Linked DNA regions of Neodiprion lecontei. The protein of the gene in region 2 purifies or fractionates together with the protein of the main gene of each other region. This does not show direct contact. Links are inferred from orthologs where the notes say so. Each region holds a gene or a part of one and is shown on either strand. Other genes may lie near its edges.

Region 1 (6,266 bases), on a different chromosome or scaffold from region 2:
ATCAAAGGAATATAAAACGAAATTGGAGATTAAATGTTCTATGATTAACGATACAATCAGCGAAACTGATCAATCGTGATTCGAATTTGCCAAAATTGTTATATCTATGTATAAAGTTAGCATAATATTGATCAAAATTTACACAGTTATACAGAGTGGGAGAGTTGTCAGATAGGCAACAACAAGATGATGATATTCGAGAGGCATTATATTTTTCGTGACGTGTATTTTTTAACTCTTGTAGCTTTTTATAAGCGTTTTAGAAATCTTTGGATTTTAACTTATGATCTGGGACTTGTTAAAAAAGAAAAGAAACATGAAATTGAAAGTATGCAAATTTACGTGGTCACTTTTTTTGCATTTTTATCTACCTTTGATAGAAAAAATAATTGTGAATTCGTAATCCTATCGTAGTCACAAACTATCTTGAGAAATTGCCCCCCCCCCCCCCCCAGATCCCCCGCCACTGTTGAAATAACTTTTTGCAAGTATATGTCTCAACGCTCAATGTAGAAATACAATGGCGATTGATTGAATTCATCGAATTTCCGAATATGATATTTCCTGTATATTTTTTTTCTATCTGAATAGTAAACCATATAAATATGAATAACAGAAACGATTTACGGTATTATTCATATCACAAATTTACATGGGCTGTTTTTGTGGAAAAATCGTGATCATCTAAGTTTTGTATGATAGAACTATACTAAAATTTTTTCGGGCCCAATGGTTTTCTATACGACGCTCAAAATTTGAAATTGTGTTCCGATATATGCATAAGGGGGAGACGCACACGTTCGCCCAGGCGCAAATTATGTTTATAAGTACCACTGTTCCAGGCCAGGCCTATTCTGTAAGATGCGTTCATTGTATTGATTGATTATTTATAAAGAAAATTTTGTTAAAAACATTATAGGTTCCTTCTTATGAACAAATAAATTGTATATTCTTGCCAATATTAAATATATTATGAATAATAAACACAATTATACAATTTAAAAAGAATATTTCTTGCTTTTGTCAATATCTTACTGTAATCCACAGTTCTTTCAATAATTTTATTTTGCTATATACGTATATTGTAAATGAAAATAGACAAATAAAATTCAATAGGTGGGAATGAATGCCAGGGTGATAACATCATCGTACGGGTACGTAATAGCGTTTAATATTTAGTAATTATATTTTATAAGCTTACAGTATAGGCCTGACATTGGTATACCATGATTTTTTATTGTAAATTATTTATATCCAATCGTAACATTTGGATGATAATTTGAGCTTGAAACGTCCAAGTATCTCTATTTCTTGTTACTGAAAATTGTAGAAATTTAATTCTGTTTATGCAAAATTTTTCGGTCTGTAGCTTGAGATTGATGACGGAAAGGAACTAACCATGGAATTTTTGCAAGAGGAATTACATCCGAAAGTCAATTTGCACCGACCTAAGTTTGCCAAACCCAAAGGTCCGCCAAACAGAGGTGCTAAACGTTTGACCAAGATTCAAACTCCAGAAACTGCAGAACAAGAAACTTAATATAAAACTCTGATGAATTATACAATTAGGACAATAACAAATTCAAGCAGGCTGTAAGATTTTAGTAAACTGCCCAACGCTTTATTACTATTTATTCCGCAACATTACTCTTTGCTTAATTTTGACTGTCAAATTCAGTGCTTTTATTCACTTCTAGTACATTTCTCGTTTATTATTCATCCAAATGGGAAAATTCGGTTTTCGTTTTATAGTGTACAATGAAATATTGATCGAATGAAGTTGACTAGACAAGAACTTTTTTTTTCTATACATTTCTAATTTGCATATCGTATATGTCGTTGATTATCAGGCCTATTCTGTGAGCATATGTAGTATTTATTGCATACACGGTAACGACTTTGCTAACTTCAAAACTATGCAATAAACAGCTGCCTCGAATTTCCATCAGAACTTATGTTTAGTATTGAGCATGGAAATTTTCAGTATTAATACTTGCCTGCAGAATAGGGCTCATAAAATATCGAATTAGGAATATCTCTCAATGTTTGCGAATTATGACCAGTGTTCTATCAAGAATATTTTCGTTTCATTGTGAACATGCATGCTGCTGTAGATCAGAATTTTACATTCAAATTATTCGATTAGAGGGATCAGTAGACATTTTTCAGCAATTGCTCAAATTTGATTATGTATTTTATTGGCACAATCGGTATATAGTTTATTGCAGTGATAGAGAATAAGATTAGCGATTTTTATAATCATTATATAAAAATTGTGTTATCCAAGGTATCATAATTTAATCACTTGCAGGAAATTGCATCAATTTGAAGGATTGAGAATTTAACATGTTATAATATAACAAATTTTTCAAGTATTGGGTTAGACAGGTGTAACTAATGTTGAAAATAACGTAAAGAAATATAATTCGCACATGATCGACACCCATTTTCTTAAACGTACTCATATACAATTTTAGCAATCATAAAAATGTGCCGTTGCCTTAGGTACTAGTGAATTAAGTCTGCATGAGTTATATACATATAATGTACTTTAAAGAAACAGAAAAAACCACATATTATTATTAGAAATTATTAATTAAATTATAATTGTTCTCTGAACAATTTAAAATAAATTATAATTATGTATAACAACGAATAAAGTCTAATATCTACAAGACCAATGGAAATAGACCTACCTAAATTGAGTGACTATGCTTTACTTTTCTTAACCTCTTGCTCTTGCACCTCTAGACTTTCCACTTTTTTGTCATGCAACATTTCGATGTCTGTTGGCTGCTGGATAACGCGACTCATAGAACTCTGAATTCGCCTGTAATGAGAGAAAATACTTTAATTAGAACGACTTATTCATACACACTGTACGTAAGTGAGCTAAAAATACTTGAAAAATGATAACGGCACGTTCAAATCAGTGACCGTCTCTCACTTGTCTCTGCTCTTCTTCCAATTGTATTGCCAGTATCGGATTTCCTCCATCGTCGTACCACTTATTTTTAACAATGCTAAACACAATGCACCAGCTACACCGCCGAAAACTCCTCCCACAGCTCCGCCAACAAGCATTGCTCTCGGACCCAACATTGTTTTATACATCGCTCCAGTTATAGTACCCGCAGTTACATATTCTAAAAGAGATGACTTGCCACGATAAACTGCGATCGAGGTTGTCAGTAATCTACAATTTTAACATACTTTTAGGACGACTGTAGTTGGCTAAATCTGAAACTCAAAATATTCTAAGATACTAGATTAGTTTGTTGCGTGAAATTTTAGCGTAAGATTCTCACACATAAGAGCCAGTGAAAAAGGCGATTCTCCATGCCCAGTGATAAGCACCCTTGGCAAAACTGATTGTAACAGTATCTTGCAATTTTCTTTTCGCCTCGAATATGTTTGTGAATGCTGTCGCCTGATTTCTCTCCATGAAATTTACATACGCCATACGTGAATTCAGTGAGCCTCCATATACGAGTCCAACAAACGTTCCAAAAAATGTTGCTTGTACAGCGAAGTGCATTTCAGGACTTCGGTTTCCATACTCGCTGTAACGTAAACGGCTGCATTATTTAATGGATTGACAAGATAGAAGACAATTCGATGTGCGGATGTCAAGAAAGGAACAAAGAACAAATTGAAGGCAACAGAGGGTAGAACGATTTGAAAAGGGAAAAAATTAGTTTTGAGAATGACACATGAAAGTGTCGTGCGTTGATTGTAACAAGCGGGATAACGAAGGTCTACTATTAATAAAACAAGTACATACTCGAGACTGTACATGTTTCTTAACCTATCCCAGCCGGTTTCATTTTCGTTCGCATCAGAGTTAAATGATTTGGCAGTTTGTACAGTTTTATCGGGTATATCATACTGCCAAAACGGTAAATGTATACCTATCAGATACGGTATTCGTCTTCCCGCGACATTTAACATTTTGTAGCTATTGAATTGGGAATTGTTGGTCCCGATATCTCTGCAAGTCAATGGATGGTGCGATGTAACATAACCTAAAAATACAACTCAAGATACAAAATTTTGACGACGCCATTGGCCAAACTAGCAGTTCAAAATATCTCCAAAATGTCAGGGGCATGCGCGATGGATGATCCGCCCGAGGTTAAAAAAAAATGAATGTTTGTTTTTTGCCGATCAGCCAGCGGTAAAATTTGGCTAATGATTTTGTCACGGGAAGAAGTTACCTTAGACCTCAATAAGTTGTTTCAGCTTAAGATTCACGTAAGAATTGCATACAGATCTGCAGCGAAGATGAAAAATCGATGCTGAAAGGTTGAACATCAAAAAGAAGAGGTTGATTTTATACATAGATGTTGCCGTTTTGTAGGCAGCGAATAATCACACAAGGCTTACGGGTTGCAGACGTTAAGGCGCGATTCGGTAACATCGATTATTTAAAGCTTGAAAGCTACCGTAGTTGTATGAAAAATGCATCACTGCAGTTTGCTGTACAGTACAGCAATGAGATTAGAGGCTAGATTTATTACGGCTGGAAGGAGAGGTGCATATAAAATGCACCCATTTATATCTCTTATCTTGACTGAGCCTCCTGCAACGTTTCACGTGCTATAGTTAAGAAAATTCAGTTCAGATTGGTAAGATCAATTCGTTGTTGTTAGAAAACTATGCAATAGAATCGAATAAAATAATTTGTTTCAGTTTCGATAAAGATTCGAAAATAGATACCTTAAGTCCGAACCGACTGCTTTTATATTCCTTCTAACTTTGGCTCGAGAAGAATGGTATTAACTATTTATGATTCTTGAGCATACTTGGTGAAATTCTGACATATATCCAGTACAATATCACGAGTAACAGCAAATTACTAAAAAATCAGTAAGTAATGATTTTCATAAAAAACTGAAGCATCACATGGAAAAATTTTGGAATTAATTTCAGCGATAATTGCGTTATATCGTTTGAATATATTCTCTTGGGCATTGAATTGTATATTGGTCACGGGTATAGTTTATCGAAACTTGGATATTTTAAATTATATTCAAAATCATAGTTATTTTTTTTTTTACGGAATTTAAATCGGCGGGTAGACCGGAAGCTGGAAATGGTGGTGAAAAACGGCGCACGATGCTAATCCCGTGGTTCCCTCAGTGTACCGCTAGGTGTGCTGGCAGAGACGCGCCGTGACGTAACGGCATTACATCAGGCTTCTTTTCCACCCCCGAAAGCCGGGGGCAGGGATGAAGGAGGGAGACCGTCGGTGGCAGCGAGGGCCGGGGGAGTAGAAACTCGCACGTCAATAGGACCGCCGGCGGCTGGGGTGTGGAGGGGGCGACGGCCGGCGTGTGCCAGGGGGTGGAAAAGGTAACAGGGGCGATAGGGGTGGTTTCCGAAGCGCCGAAGAGCGAGGAACGGCTGCGAACCGTGTGGTTGTACCGCGCAACGCCAGTGTCACACTAAAATGTGACTCGACGCAACGAGCACAGAACCGAAATTCCATTAGTTTAGGGAAAAGCCGAAGTATTTGAAAAAAAAAGGAAAACAAAGAAAATATAGAAATAATAAATAAACCGAAAAAGTGTGCACCTTGGATTATATGCATCCGTTACACCGCTGACCGATCGCTAACACTAGTCGGAGATATAATACATATCATTTTATCCTAGTTGAAAAAGACTCTCGCGTAGTCGTTGAGGGGGGTGAAAAAAAAAAAAAGGAGCAAGCATAAAGAAACTATATATATAAGGAAAAATACAAATAAAAAAAAAAAAAAAAATAAAAAATATATATACATATATGTTATGGTTAAAAAGTTAATAATTTTAATTATATAAAAAACAAAAAAAAAAAATAAAAAATACAATTCTATGTACACGCATATCTACGATACGATATTAAATTATAAATTCATGTTGTAAGAAATATACCGCGTTAACGTTAAACGGGGAGGGGGAAAAAAAAAAAAATTATATTCGTTGAACGTAGCAGTTGGCTAAGTTATAATTACAGTGTGGTGATTTTGGAAATAAAATTGGTTTTCTATTTGTTTTACTTGTTTCTTTTGACGCAATAAATAAAGGATTGATAAATCTGTGATTTGTGTCGCGAAGATAATATTCTCGGGAGACTGGTGCAGGCAACGGGTAAGTCGAATACGTACAATTAATGATTCAGCTCCCTCAAACCGTATTGCATAATGTATATAACGTAGAGCCACTTTGTCAGAGATACAAACCTAATAATAGACTCGCAAGAACTAGACTGATAAGGCAATT
Region 2 (4,852 bases):
CATAGTGCAAATGTCTCGAAACGTGGGGAAGATGTAAGTTTTCGTGCAGATATGTTGTGTGTACTTGCATATAAAGAATGAGCACATCAACCGGCTGGTTTTGGCACAATATAACAACTGCATTTACACTAGCGTCGTAAAGCAAAAGTATGTATTGTAGTATGAATAGTATTGTATATTGTTTTGTCCAAGAGAAGATCATCTTAGTATGTGTGGATAACTTTTGTGAAAACGACTTAGGTCTTATCTCCATTCAGCTTAATAGCTGCTGTGATATTTCGTACGGTTGTCATGGCAATGGTAGACTTGCACTCCATCTTGCTCACTGCGACCCCATTGTGGTTGGAGACTAAACTCGAAAGTGACTACACGTGGAAAAAATCGATAGTTTAGTCATAAAATGTTAAATTATTGCGATTTTTACTAGACCCACTTTTTTACAGTCCGCTCTTTGTTTCACACTAACCATTGAATCTTTTGTGTATGTTCCAAAATGCGGGTGATTCCAATTTCTTATATATTTAGTAGGGTTGTAACACATATCTCCTGTATAATTGCAAAACAATGCAATTTCTACATCATTTCCGTGCAGTCATAAAAAATTTGTGTCATTTGTCTTCACATATATTTAGCCAACGTACCAGCATGCATCAATCAAGACTTGGAAAGTCACTGAAATGTCATTAGCTTACCCCATGTTGTAATGAGCATAATGTGGTTCAAAAGCTATCCCTCGTTACCATTCGTTAATAATCGTATTAGGATCAAGTGTGACTAAATTCAAAAACAACTTTCGTATTTTATTGAATATTCACATGTAGAACTATTCCTAACAATTTTACAGGCATTTACTAATAGTATCATATATATAACTATGTCAGATGCTTTGGATTATTCTGATCTTTCATCTTTTCATGCAACGAAGGTTGCAGTGGTGTTTCTTTCAGCTCCTTTTCAGGGATGTAGAGTTTAAACGTCCTGAAGTATTTCAATATATTACCTGTAAAATAATCAGTTTTCATATTGCACGAAAAAATACAGGTATCTTGGGTAGATAGGGGCTTCACTAGTGATTGTATTAGAAAAATAAACCGACATCATTAAATTTAATATTAATTTCAGAGTTTGGCAACTCAGAAGTGCATGAATGTGCAGTCCATTGCAACCACATTACTATAGAGCTGTCTGAAGATTATGTGTTATAGCAACGGCAACCTCACTCTTGTGCAACTTGATACAGAGCTGAAATGTGTGACTAAATGCACTATGTGATACAACTAGTCGAAATACCTTGCTCTCTGTGCGAGTGCAGTCTCTTGTGATGTAAAAAGCAGGTTTTTGATTATCTCTGTATAAAAATTAGTTACTGCATAATTCATGACGATGTTCCACTTTAATGTTTAACATGTATGAAAACTCAAACAAGTTGAGAAAACTGTCATACTTATTGAACTTATAACAAAGAATTTCGATTGTTGGTGCATTCAAAATTGTGTCATCGCAGGCACGCTCCAATCATGACCCTTAGATGGCCTGTTAATTTTTTGTACGCTTGTTAGTGGTAAATTGATCATACTTGTAGATTCGAGACTGAGTTTATACTCAGCAGCTATTTCAGCAGCAGTGTGTTTTGTTGGCTCTGTATTATGATCTGTTATGAATTTGATAGCTTGGCGCAAAGTACATCTCCCTATCGTAACTTCAGTTGGTTCAAAAACGCCAAACTCCAAGTCATCCCTGACAGTTCTGGACTGGGGAAGAGGCCGATCTGGATTTTTGACATGAAGTTTCTCCATCATCTGTAATTTCCAGATATAACGTAACAGAATACTCAACTCATCTACAACGGATTACGTAACTATTGGAATGATAAGTGTTACCTCTGCTGTATGAGATACAAGGTAGACATTTTTCAGATGATGATCAAGCTTCGCATCTTTCATGTTATGTTTTTTCAGGAAATCAGAATCTGCTGTAAATTTATTAAATGCCGATTGTACAACTACTTGGCAATGGTAACAGCAAGAATCAGGAAGTCATATTCATTGAGTTGATACTTGCAGGGCGTTGCGAACACTTGCCTTCGTTCATTATTTCAGATTGTCTTGCAGACGGTTTGTGGTGAGGTGCGGGAGTTGGTTTTTCTTTCGAAATAACTTTGTGGGCACGGTTCTCGATATTGAACCTTTGCAATTGTCGTGACAGCATTGACATTCCCTTTCCCATTTGGCTATCTACTTAATATTGATTACCTTAAACGTATCAAGAATGTAACATAAATACTGGCTTGTTTGTGACTTAGAGATATGATAAACATGCTCTACGCGGATAAGTAACCCGGCTCTACATCGGCTGCGAGAGATTCTTTAGAGAGGTTAGAGTTAGGCTCACATTGGCTCACGTCGTATCGATGCGGAAAACAGAAGAAGACGTTACTCAAAATAACAATTGTAGACTTGTCAACGGAGTCTTTCTCCGCGGTGGCGAGGCTAAAAAATGTAGCTCCATATACTTAGCCCGTCCTCAATATCCGAATGAGTGGATTTAGTTTTTAATAGCTCGTTGGACATTTGTTGGTGTTGATAGTGAGTTCCCGACGTTTAATAGTCAATAGTTGAGTGGTTGTGAATGGCGAAAAGTATCTCAGCTCGGCACTTTTTGGCCCCTGAAATGCGGGAGACGATGGGAATAGTAACACGTGTCAAAAAATTACACATTTTTTTTGGGCGATTTTCGAAATATGAGTAACTTTCCTGAATTCCGCTACAAAAGAGCGATATACCCGCGAACTTTGAATTCTTTCTGTTTGTTTGTTTATTTAATACCTAATATAGGAAGAAAGAGTGGGAGTTTTCTCAGTCCGTAAGGGTAGGAGTGCTAAATGCTTTTCAGAACAGGCTATATGACTTCAACTTTCACGGATCAGTGAAAGGCGGAAATTGATATCTTCAATCGACGTTGTTTTCATATCATCAATACTCCTGTTTACGTATCATGGAAACTATCAGAAACTATCATATGTATATTTTGTTCTGCCCCAGAAAAAAAGTCCAAGGCCTGGGTAATATATATAGACTACGCAGTCAAGAACGACCGAGTACGTAGATACCGGATGAACTTCGGATTGACCGATTTGAGTTGCTGAGGTTTTTTTATAATTTGGAGCTCTTTCTTTCTCGCGAGAGAGGAGAGCGGTCATTCGTCACTTGGTGATTGTTTGTAGTACTTCCACTTACGTACATGGTTATTTATAGAGAACCAATGGATATCCATCACCGATTTCAATCACACCGCAAACATTCGGGATTTCTGTAGAGTCTATTAGAGATCCACCATGAATATGGATCTTTTATGGAGCTGTGCGCATGGATTTCGCAAACGGCATATAAAAAAAGTAACGCACTCGTCATTTGCTGAGCCTCAGTCAACTTTCTTACGAGCATTGACTGAAGAATATATCTTCAGTTATAACGTTACGAGTAACGAAGTTTTCAATGTTGATCGCGCAGTTTGTGCATTGATTTTATTCTTCTTGGTTCTGAGACAAAGCACGGCATTTGCAAGCCGGTGGTCATCGCGCGGGGATATCTATTGCAGAGTGTACAGTGACAGTGAAGCATCTTGCCGTGAGTATTTATGAGATATATCTGAAAAGTGCAAAAGTATTTTTTCAACACGTTCATGGAATTGTGCCTCGCCTTAATTTTTCTTGTATGTAAGGACGTAAGGTGAATGGAAAATTGCTTACTTCGAGCGTGGATTTCGTTACCTTCCCGTCGTTTTCCCAAGGAGGTAATGAGCAATAAAATAAAACTGAATGATCTCGTTTGTCAATCATTGTTCTCATGATTAATTCATGTAAGTGAAATCAAACGTGAAACGCAATTATTTTATTTCGCCCAAAATTCACGATAAGGGCCTTATACATGCTCTTGTTAGAAACAGCCCGGTGTACAACAGGCGTAGGGGCTACTTCTACCGAATAGCCTTCAGCACCCTCGATTCGAACTTGTGTATCATCATGTGACCAAGGGTACAAATCATACACCAACATCATACATCATATCATACATAGTATGAACGTTCGAAATCCAAATTTCGAATGTTCGGATGTTCAGAAATTACATTTCGACGTTACCGAAAGTTTTTTTTTTTCATATAATATTCGACCACGCTAATCAATCAGCAGAATTCCTCAGTCCGGAAATAAACGCGCAGTAGAGAGGACGTACGAAAATCGCGCTCGGCAAATTTCGAGCATCAAGTCCTCTATCTCCTGGGTACTGCGCTCCAGGTCGTCCACCTGGTGAATTTCGACTTCCAAGGCGAGCACTCCGTAGCTTCTGTGCCTTAGATCCTTTACCTGTGGAGTCTCGAATTTCAGGACGAACACTCCGTAGTTCCTGGGCTCCAAGTCGTCTACCTGGTGAATTTCGGTTTTCTGGACTAGCGCTTCGCATTTCCTGGGCTCCGGGTCGTCTACCTGGTAAATTTCGTCTTTCAGGACTCGACTTTCAGGACGAACGATCTGTAGTTCCTGGGCTCCAGGTCTTGTACCTGGTGAATTTCGACTTTCAGAACAAGCGCGCCGCAATTCCTGGGCCCCAGGTATGAGAACTTATTTTGTTTTAATAGTTAAATCATGTGTATTAATAAATAAATACGGATAATCACGTTCATCGTGCCCCAGGTTTTTCTCTTCCAAAGTGAGTGTCCCAATTACGTCGAATTTAAAAATTCAATCTATTACTTGATAACTCAATGGTATCAAGTAATGTTATGTTATACATCCCACTAAATTATTCGTTGTCCTAGAGCCTCTAGAGCTCTTACGTGAGTTTGTCGAATAAAT
Region 3 (4,620 bases), about 32 Mb from region 2:
TCAGATTTACACAGTCAGATGAAGCCGTGAGATTAATGAGTTGTTAGGTACAGAGAGTAATATCAGTATTACGTAAAAAATGTATAGTTTCAATAACTTATAATACAAACTTATTAAAATAATGTTTTGCAAAAAAAGCTGTATTAAGCAAGAAATGAATATGAATCTTTATTGCCTTAAAGACATCATATTTATACCAATTCTCTAGTTAATTTTTCTATTTTCAATGGTAAAAGATTAACAAAGTCTTTGCAGACACTCAATTCCACGCTCATCAATTCTGCAGCTTTTTCATCCTTCTCACAGTAGCCAATCAGCGCTTTGTAGGCATTCAAACTATTTCGAAGATTTTCTAGCTGTGCATGTTTGTCAGGTGTTATGATTTTATAATACAATCTTCCCAAAAAAAAGTAAGCAAATAAAGCGGGTCTAACTAAATCTTCGGAAAATTTGTCTGGGAAATTGTGAGTGGCTGGATCCACCAGAGAATCTAAAAAATTCTGAAAGTTTCCAATCGCACTCCTGGCAAGGTTATTGATTTTAGTTAGTGCCTGGGCGGTCGGTCTTTCGTTTGACGCTTGCAGACGTTCAAGCTTAATATCTAAAATATCGCAGTAAACTTCGCCCAGTTCGATCCATAGTTGCCTGCACACAGTTTGGTAATACTGTGGATTTAACTCTGTAACAATCTTTTCTAAGGCGTCGACCCGCCGCTTGTGCATTTTAGATTGGCGATCCTCATCCTCTTCAAAGAATGACAAGAATTTAAAGAGCTGCGAAACGTCTTGTATCACTTGCACGTGATCCGACGCATGACTCTCCAATGTGTAATACTTTTTTGCCTCATCAAGCCATTGTTGGGAGTTCAGAAATATCGTCCTGGCATCGTTGAAGTCCAAAGCATATTTGTCTGTCAGTTGATTTGCAATAGTTTCAATTTCTTTCTCTATCTTTGTGAATCTTAAATTCTCGATACATTCTTCAGTGACCCCCGAGTTCTCATCCAACTGCATCCTACTTATCTCCGAGCACATTTCGCTCGTTTCATCATCGGCATGATGCATCAGCCTTTCTTTGGATGTACTCAACAGCAGGATCCCATATTTTGCCCAGCACCTGGCGACGTCTGCGCTTCTATGTCTGAACGTTTCCCATTTTGCTGCCACCACTTCCTCCGTATCGTCCAAACTTCTCAACTCATCCTCGTACTTTTGCAGAATATATGAAGCTGCAGCCAAGTGATGTTTGGCCTGCCTAAACCCTCCCTTTTCCATAAAATACTGGGACAAAGTCGCAGCATTCAAGGCCCAGTCTACACAATCCAGATCTTCGTGGTTCAACTGACGTTTCAGAGTCATGTGGCAGTAGACTGCGGATTTGAGGTGATCCTTTAAGGTTCCATAGATTTGCGCCAAGTAGTAGAGAGTCAGAGTGTGGAGTCGTTCGACTATTTCCTCAGCGTCTGTGTCATCGTCATCATCCTTCAGATTGAACAATGCGGCCATAAGTACGGGTTTGGTACTATCGCTTTTTTCAATCGCAGTAAAATCCTTGTATATTTTTTCAGCTTTTTCTAAATATTTCTGGGATGTTTTTGGATTGTCTCGCTGGGCCCAGAGTATTCCCAGCTGATTCAGAGCACTAAGTATAACTAATATTGCCTCTGGTCTCAGTTCTCGGTCAATCAAAAGGTCCACGCAGTTGGTCAGCTGCTCTTCACCGGCTGCCAATTCCTCCGTGTCGACCGAAATTATCCCCATATTGAGCCAGATAACAGCAAGCATTGCTGTCACAATATTTCTGTCGTGTTCTGTTATATTGTCGTCTAATATTTTCACAAGTTTAATCTGCATTTCCTTGAGTATATCGGCTGCCGCATATTTACTTTTGTACGGCTCACTCTCCGGGTCCAATTTACTGTGCTCGTCCAGCAGCTTTCGAACCTTGACGTATTTCTCCTCCAGGTCCACTAGAATCTCCTTATTCACACTATCGAGCTCCATTTCAACGACACTTTCGGACAATATACTGAAGTGATTGAAATTCAAGCTGCAACGACGACTGATTTATTTGATCCGTGTTTGAGGTTAAGTACCGGTTTTCCTGTTTTCTTTTCGTCGTCTACGCGGTGCGCAGACCGTTTTGCGTTTTTCGTCTCAAGCAGACGCTGTGAGCAGACGATAGAGTGCGATCCGTAGTCTCAATTAATCCTGAAAACTTGTGCAAAGTATCGAGGAATTCAGAATTTGCGTAAAATATGGCTGGGCTTTTGAAAAAGGTAAATGTCTAACATAGTTGAATTGTTGGTATTTCTTAGAAATGGGCTTGCAAATTTTTCTTTATGGCAAATAACGTCAGGTGTTACACAACATAACCTGTATATCATATTAATCACTTCTCGAATACGCGTTGAGAAACGGTATTTTTCAAGAATTGGAGCGTTTTAAACGTATTTTTTTATTGCTGCGCCAGTAACTATAAAGGTCATCGATCCTTTCGAGACTCACTTATGCAAAATTCACTACCAGTTAGACATTGTCTCTGGTGGATGGATGTAGTCAAAGAAAGGTAACTGCTCGTGGCTGCTTATATTTGATTGTGAGATATAATAAAATCGCTAACTGCTCAAGTTGTATTACCATGCTTCTGTTTTTTTAAATTGATAACTAAAGTACTTTGCAGAATATCACAGAAGTCCTATCATTGTTTGATGGAAGGATTCTTTACGACTAACTAACAACTATAAGATTCATGACTGAGACATTTGATTCGTATGTTTATATTCCAAAAGAGCTGTGACTTTTTAAAGCCTTTTTAAGTATATTCAATGCTTTTTAAATGTTCAATATCAAGTATTCTCTTTTTTAGTCAACAAATTTAGCCAGGGTGCCCGTTGCCCCGAATCCACATCATACTTTGGGAGTGTTGTACAGTAAAATTCTTAGAGCCGTCGATAAAATGCCCAAGGATTATCCCTACAGAATCAATACGGAGAAAATTGTTAAGGAACGAGCTGCTCATGTGAAAAATGTAACTATTATTGCACAGTTTATTTATTAATAGTTATTCTTGGAAGATTATTAAATTATAAACTGATCAAGAATGATGTCGCGTAAAGTCGAAAATCGTGATTTTCATTAAGGTTTATTGAAAAGATATGCTTGTTACCTTGGTAAGAAAAAAGATATTGACAAATTATAGGATTTAAATCGTTTCAGAATCTAAAAGTGCCAGACCTTGAAAAAGCCATAAACTGTGGCCAAGCTGAAGAATTAATCCTACAAGCTGAAAACGAATTACACTTGGCGAGAAAGTTCTTAGGTTGGAAGCCTTGGGAACCGTTGATCCAAGAAGCACCTGCTAACCAATGGACTTGGCCACCGCACAAATAATATGTGAATCGATTACGCATATTTAAAATGTTTATAATCATTGCATACGCAAAGTAGACAATATTAATTGTATATACGTCTGTCTCCGATTATAAAATAGCAGTTTTGGAAGAAATTACTTGTTCCTGAAAATAGATATCATTAAAGAAATGAAAATATGCATGGACTAATCAAATGAAACTATGTCATCTTAATTAACGTGCTTCTGCATTGAAAAACAGGTCAAGATTTTTATTTAAAATATTCAAGAGCAATATTTCTTCGTTTTTCTGACCAAATCACGTAATGACCTTCATATGTGCCAGAAAGGAAGATGTAATTAGTAACGGTCTAATTACGTCTCAAGTTAAGTTAGCATTAATGAAAAATTAAAAATCTGCAGATCTACCAAGACTTTGCAGCCAAAATCCCTGTGACGAATTTATTCACAAGCTTACATTTACACTTTAAATATTGAAATTTTATTATAGATAAAAAATAGTCTAAATAAACCGACGAGTTGGAGATTAACAGATTTGTAGTATTTCCAGATTTCCGGACCACAAAAAATTATAATAGCGACACCAGAAAGATATGTATAACATACTCTCTTTGTACTAATTTGAAACTCAAGCCATAGTTAAAGATCTGCTCTACGCTCTACAGTATCATCCATTAGTGCAACTAATATTTCTTGCGAAGTATTTGATGTCCCATCTGGATGTCGTTTATCAAAATTTCCTGACTGTCCCTATTTGGATTCTGATTGCGTAACCACATTTCTATGTTTGCATACTTCCCTAAATGAGAGACAAAAAATTGCCATAACAAACTAAGTTTCGATGCAACATTTATTTATTTACATACTTTAGAATTGCTTGCTCTGTTATTGTTATTCCAAGTCATTGTATTCTCTTCACTGATTTTTGAGCTGGAGGGCTCAGAAGTCTCTGTAAAAGATATTGACGATTAGAAATTACTTGAATATGTTCGTCATGGATTTTTTTACCCGTACAAAGCATTATTCGAGCTTAAACATCTGCATTACGAAGACTGCTTCTGGTAGAAGGAGTAAGGAACAGATAAACCAGTCCCAACAAATTACGGTATATAATTTACCTGGAATTGATTTCTCCTCGATGCTCCCAATAGTGACACAAAATTCTGCCCGACTTTTATGTAATGTTGTCGGTGACGCTAAATCGTCATCATTGAATTGAATTGTTTGCGGCTTGGATGTAAGCAAATA
Region 4 (4,523 bases), on a different chromosome or scaffold from region 2:
GTACAATTGTGCCTGGTCGGTAGTACCTTAGCTGCTCCAGTTTTTCATTTCGTTGATCACCCTCTGTTGCAAGGCCTTTGCTACCTGACAGCCGTCACAACCCTAGCTGGAGGCCTCAGTTACCTGGTATCAAAAGATACGTACAAGTTTCTTCGTAAGAGGAAGATCAACCCTCCATCATCACCTTCATGACACTACTAGTTGACTCGAGCGTAACCACATCACAAAGACCAAATTTGCAATCATTCTGTGCATTCCGCATGTGAGAAGCGTATCTGTGAACCACAGTCTGACTGCCGGCTCAATGGCTCATCAGCAGTCAATGTGTAAGTCATCATCAACTGATTGATATTCGATCTGGACACTACAGTGATAGTATCCTGGTACAACGATTGATGCAAATTCTATTCTCGCTAGTTTGTTACGTTCCCATTTGTCACAATAAAGTGTATAACAGTTACAGCCATGTTTACAGGTGGATAGTAACTAAACTGGTTGAGATCCAAGTCAATCTTCGTCCGCTTTCCTATTGACGAAATCGATCACGGTATAACCGGATGTAATATCAATTGTACCAATCACATTCTACTGCATAAATTTGACGCCGAATCGACCCAGCAGGTGACATGAAAGTCGTTTTCTTCCTGTCATTTTCTGTTTGCTGTTATACCTAAGGGACGAGATAGCTAAGCTGGACATTTTCTAATGGCTGGATAGGCATTCTAATAAAAGCTGTGATATCCGAACTGAACCGGCAATCCTGTGCCGTGATGGTAGTAACGTGCAATTTGACTACAAACAACGGACCTGGCTTACCGGCAGGTGTCTTGATGAACGCTCGTGGAACGTTAGTTCAACTAATAATTAAATTTAGGTGAAAACATGAATGATTAGGTTTTGTACGATTTACATTTTTTATCCTGTATGAAGAAAATTCAGCAGAGACAGTTACTTCTTAGCAGGGAGAGAAGATATTGAATGGTCTATCCATTCAGAGTCATATATGTTTATGAGATTTTTTATTATCCTACGTGAACCTGGCTACAATTTGATTTCCTCCACGGAGAATTATAATTACAAACAGAAATTTCTGAGCTGTTGAAATGGAGGAAAAACAGATAAATGTCTGTGCAACTACATCAATATCCGGCGATGTAGTCGTCAGTTTTGTACATTTCATACGCACATTCTTCCTTATGACTTGGATCAAATAACAATCCGATGTAGTCAATTTCCAAGTTAAACGGCCCTGTCACCTTGTCAGCTGCGGTAATTCCGAAGCTAACTACATTGTGCAGGGGTAATGGCTCTTGGTGGTCTTGGATTCTTCCTTTGCTGGCCATGAAGAATTTTGAAAAAGGTATTTTCACATACTGCCAATAAGGTCCACCTCTTGTGTAGAGTGCATAGTGATAGACATCATTCCAAGTTATATCAAAGTATCCAGCTGTCGATATGTTGAGCATGTAGGATCTACCGTCCCCTCTAACCCGCATTACCAGATGATTATAGGGATGCCAGTCATAGTAACCTTCTCGTTTGAAGGACTTGCGAGCACGTAGAGTATTAATGTTGCAATATCCTGCCTTTTTGATGTTTCCTGTTTTTGGTACACGTTTGTCCAAGTATCCAGAAAACAGCCCTCTGCCAGACTTGGTCAATTGCAGGCTTCGCGTGGATAGGAAAAGCGAAAAAAAATCGTTATTGAAATTCTCAAAGGATTTTCTCGTGTCGAGGAATAGCATTCCAACGTGTCGTAACTGTACTGCAGTGATTATAGTTTAGATATTTATGCGATTTGGGGCCGGATTCATGAAACTAGGCTGCAATATTTGAGGTCCTTGTTTCACGAATCGTGGGCCTGAATGCAAATTTCTCATAATCACCTGCAATTTGAGTAACCTTCCTCATAGTCACTATCGGCGGTGACAAACCATTGGTCGAGTGACTTTTTGTCACCGTTGAACCGCCAAGCGAGGTCAATTTCGTCCTTTCGATATATCAACAACGGATCACTTTCCAAGTGTTCAATTACCTCACGTTTGAAGAGTTTAAACTCGTCCCCGAGTATACGAAAGCCATTACGAATGTGCCAGAGGTCGTTTCGTTTTTCGGATGAGCTTTTTGCTGCGACTCGCGGATAACCTGATTTGCGATCTTGTTCCCAAAACCGACGTACTTGTATCCCAACGTGTTCACATCTGGTGACTGTTGCCACCATCCGTGGAATCCTGAAGTACATCACTACTGATGATACGCGCCGTGCAACATACTCCACCGTAATTCACTTGCCGATACTGTCTGTGATAATAAACGAACGCCTAGTAATATCTTTCCCGTGCCACTTCGTTGCATCGCCAGTAATAAATACATGTGACAATGGACACAGGGGCTGCCTGCTACGTACATACGTGCATACATACGTGTTGGCGTTGGCGTGGGGGGGGGGGGGGGGGGGGGGGCGGCTTCTGTTGTGTATGCAGCAAACGAAAGTACGTTCGTTTCTACAATGGGTTTCTACTTCGCAGCAATTTTGATGCATGTATGTACAGCAAGATCCATGTGTGTATGTACACCATTAATCATTGACCAATCAGAAAATTTTAGCAGCTGCCGCATTCGGTTGTTTGCTGCACGTGAAAAAGCAGCGTAAGGGTGCTATTTCACGAGCAGTAAAAAGCAGCAGTGGTTTAGTAACTTACTAGTTTTCACTAGCATCAGTCTGCTAATTTTACGCAGCAGCAGCACTGCTCATGAAATAGGTCGTGGCTTCTTGTGGTCTTGTGGCTTGTCGCTCGAGAAACCGAACTGCGAGCAGCAGAAACTTGCACCGGAAGTGATAGGGGAAAACTGCTGCTGCTTTTTACTGCTCGTAAAATAACACCATAATTCTTCATCTTTCTATAATTGCCAATAGTTTGATTTGATAGCACGGAAAAGTACGAAGGAGACAATTAAAACTGCGATAAAACTTGTCCCCAGTTTTGAGGTAACCTTAGTGGTATGTGCTCTGAGGAGGTAACGTAAGAAGAATTGTCTGATCGCAATTTGAGCGCCTCTTACGGAAAAAAGGGAAATTTTCGCTACAAAATGTAAAAAAAGAAGGATGCTGATCGTAACCTATTAAGGGTGTATTCCGAAATATACTTCCGGTACTGCCGACCGTGACGTTACGCAGTCAACTGCGAACTGCGTACCGTTTTTACTTCGAGTTGCCAGCCGCAATAAAATCGGAACGCTACACCGAGGACGCGGCCATCTCTCAAGTAGTGCAGCTGCCTCACATCCCCGACCGCAGTAGTCGCAGTCAACAACATCACAAATTTCATGACGTCACTGAGTGGCGGCAGTAAGCTGTCGCGCGATTTCGGAACGTGGTTGCCAGTACTTGCAGTACTGTCAGTATATTTCGGAATACACCCTATGAAACGAGGACGCCTCTGAGATTAAAGGAAGCCTTCATCAAGGCGTCCTTTATCCTTGAAATAAGGAGAGACTATGAATACGGGTATATATACAGGCGTTTAAATCGCACCCTGACAAGGTCCCTAGATTATACCAGGTCAAGACACGCGTGTTCCAGTTTTTCTCACTATAACGTGGGCAAAAATTTCTAGGCGCGTTCGCCCAAAAGTATCTTATAGCGTTTTCCACCGGGGTTTACTTAACATTACTGCATTTACCAGTTTTGACCAATCTTGCTCGATTTTTTGAGTTTAAGCATTAACGAGTTGCGCCCATACACCCGTATTCATAGTAACTCCTTATCTCAAGGATAAAGGACGCCTTGATGAAGGCTTCCTTGAATCTCAGAGGCGTCCTCGTTTCATAGTCACAACTTGGCTCTCCCTTCCAGAAGGAGGACATATTTAGGGATATGAGATTGCTTATGGTGGTAAAACTGCTGATCGAAGCGCCACTCGGCTGTATTTAAATCTAACTTAAACCACTTGGCTCTCATTGTCAAGTCGCGTCGGTTGATGAGAGTGTGTAACCTCAAAGAAGTTAACCCGTAGACTGGCTGTGATCCGCGTCATACGGGTCATAAGTGCATAGACGCCGAGCGCAAGCGTTGGCTACATGAAACGAAACAGCCAATCGCAGTGCCGAAGGTTTCCTCAAGGAAGCTCGTGTAACGTCCGACCGGAACGTCCGTATGTTTTATCGATTATTATTACTGCATGTTACTTTTATCAACTAACCAAACTCGAAGTACGAGAATCTTGTAACCATAAGAAATTAAAACAACTGTCTAACTATTTGGAATATCCCTAGATGGAAATAACTATGAAATTCACTAGCCAAGGCTTAAAAACCATGTTACGAGATCTTCGTACCACAGAGAACTATAATACTATTATACGTTATTATATATCACTATCATATTAACACTATAATTAACTAACACAATTATACCCAATTATTATATAGCACTCAACAATGCCATTTGTGCATTCGGAGCTGAGAGCTATACTTAAGCAACATACGCTTTACTATATAGCCTGGAGTATAGAAGACTGTAA

Evidence for each region.
Region 1: the proteins of protein NDUFAF4 homolog (region 2) and RPII140-upstream gene protein purify together in Homo sapiens (affinity purification with mass spectrometry; 3 studies listed by BioGRID and IntAct, with this or other methods). This does not show direct contact. The link is inferred for Neodiprion lecontei from reciprocal best matches to the Homo sapiens genes NDUFAF4 and TIMMDC1.
Region 3: the proteins of protein NDUFAF4 homolog (region 2) and NADH dehydrogenase [ubiquinone] 1 alpha subcomplex subunit 5 purify together in Homo sapiens (co-immunoprecipitation; 3 studies listed by BioGRID and IntAct, with this or other methods). This does not show direct contact. The link is inferred for Neodiprion lecontei from reciprocal best matches to the Homo sapiens genes NDUFAF4 and NDUFA5.
Region 4: the proteins of protein NDUFAF4 homolog (region 2) and complex I intermediate-associated protein 30, mitochondrial purify together in Homo sapiens (co-immunoprecipitation; 3 studies listed by BioGRID and IntAct, with this or other methods). This does not show direct contact. The link is inferred for Neodiprion lecontei from reciprocal best matches to the Homo sapiens genes NDUFAF4 and NDUFAF1.

What each region holds. Positions count from the first base shown.
Region 1 is NC_060263.1:36,270,930-36,277,195, reverse strand, and holds RPII140-upstream gene protein, read right to left. Parts: upstream 4,063-6,266; 5' UTR 3,952-4,062; coding exon 3,785-3,951; intron 3,564-3,784; coding exon 3,309-3,563; intron 3,197-3,308; coding exon 2,948-3,196; intron 2,831-2,947; coding exon 2,710-2,830; 3' UTR 1,541-2,709; coding exon of another isoform or gene 1,370-1,540; 3' UTR 731-1,369; downstream 1-730. Other genes in the region: twinfilin, read left to right, coding at 1,370-1,540.
Region 2 is NC_060260.1:87,595-92,446, reverse strand, and holds protein NDUFAF4 homolog, read right to left. Parts: upstream 2,677-4,852; 5' UTR 2,392-2,676; intron 2,386-2,391; exon of another isoform or gene 2,253-2,385; 5' UTR 2,227-2,252; coding exon 2,082-2,226; intron 1,973-2,081; coding exon 1,881-1,972; intron 1,800-1,880; coding exon 1,577-1,799; intron 1,001-1,576; coding exon 873-1,000; 3' UTR 780-872; downstream 1-779. Other genes in the region: transmembrane protein 138, read right to left, coding at 69-253. UniProt on the Homo sapiens protein: Involved in the assembly of mitochondrial NADH:ubiquinone oxidoreductase complex (complex I). May be involved in cell proliferation and survival of hormone-dependent tumor cells. May be a regulator of breast tumor cell invasion.
Region 3 is NC_060260.1:32,435,408-32,440,027, forward strand, and holds NADH dehydrogenase [ubiquinone] 1 alpha subcomplex subunit 5, read left to right. Parts: upstream 1-2,122; 5' UTR 2,123-2,257; coding exon 2,258-2,278; intron 2,279-2,868; coding exon 2,869-3,030; intron 3,031-3,218; coding exon 3,219-3,392; 3' UTR 3,393-3,572; downstream 3,573-4,620. Other genes in the region: KIF-binding protein, read right to left, coding at 192-2,003; uncharacterized protein LOC107218492, read right to left, coding at 4,227-4,321, 4,491-4,620. UniProt on the Homo sapiens protein: Accessory subunit of the mitochondrial membrane respiratory chain NADH dehydrogenase (Complex I), that is believed not to be involved in catalysis. Complex I functions in the transfer of electrons from NADH to the respiratory chain.
Region 4 is NC_060266.1:45,346-49,868, reverse strand, and holds complex I intermediate-associated protein 30, mitochondrial, read right to left. Parts: upstream 2,429-4,523; 5' UTR 2,243-2,428; coding exon 1,887-2,242; intron 1,669-1,886; coding exon 1,140-1,668; 3' UTR 1,003-1,139; downstream 1-1,002. Other genes in the region: probable cardiolipin synthase (CMP-forming), read left to right, coding at 1-192. UniProt on the Homo sapiens protein: As part of the MCIA complex, involved in the assembly of the mitochondrial complex I.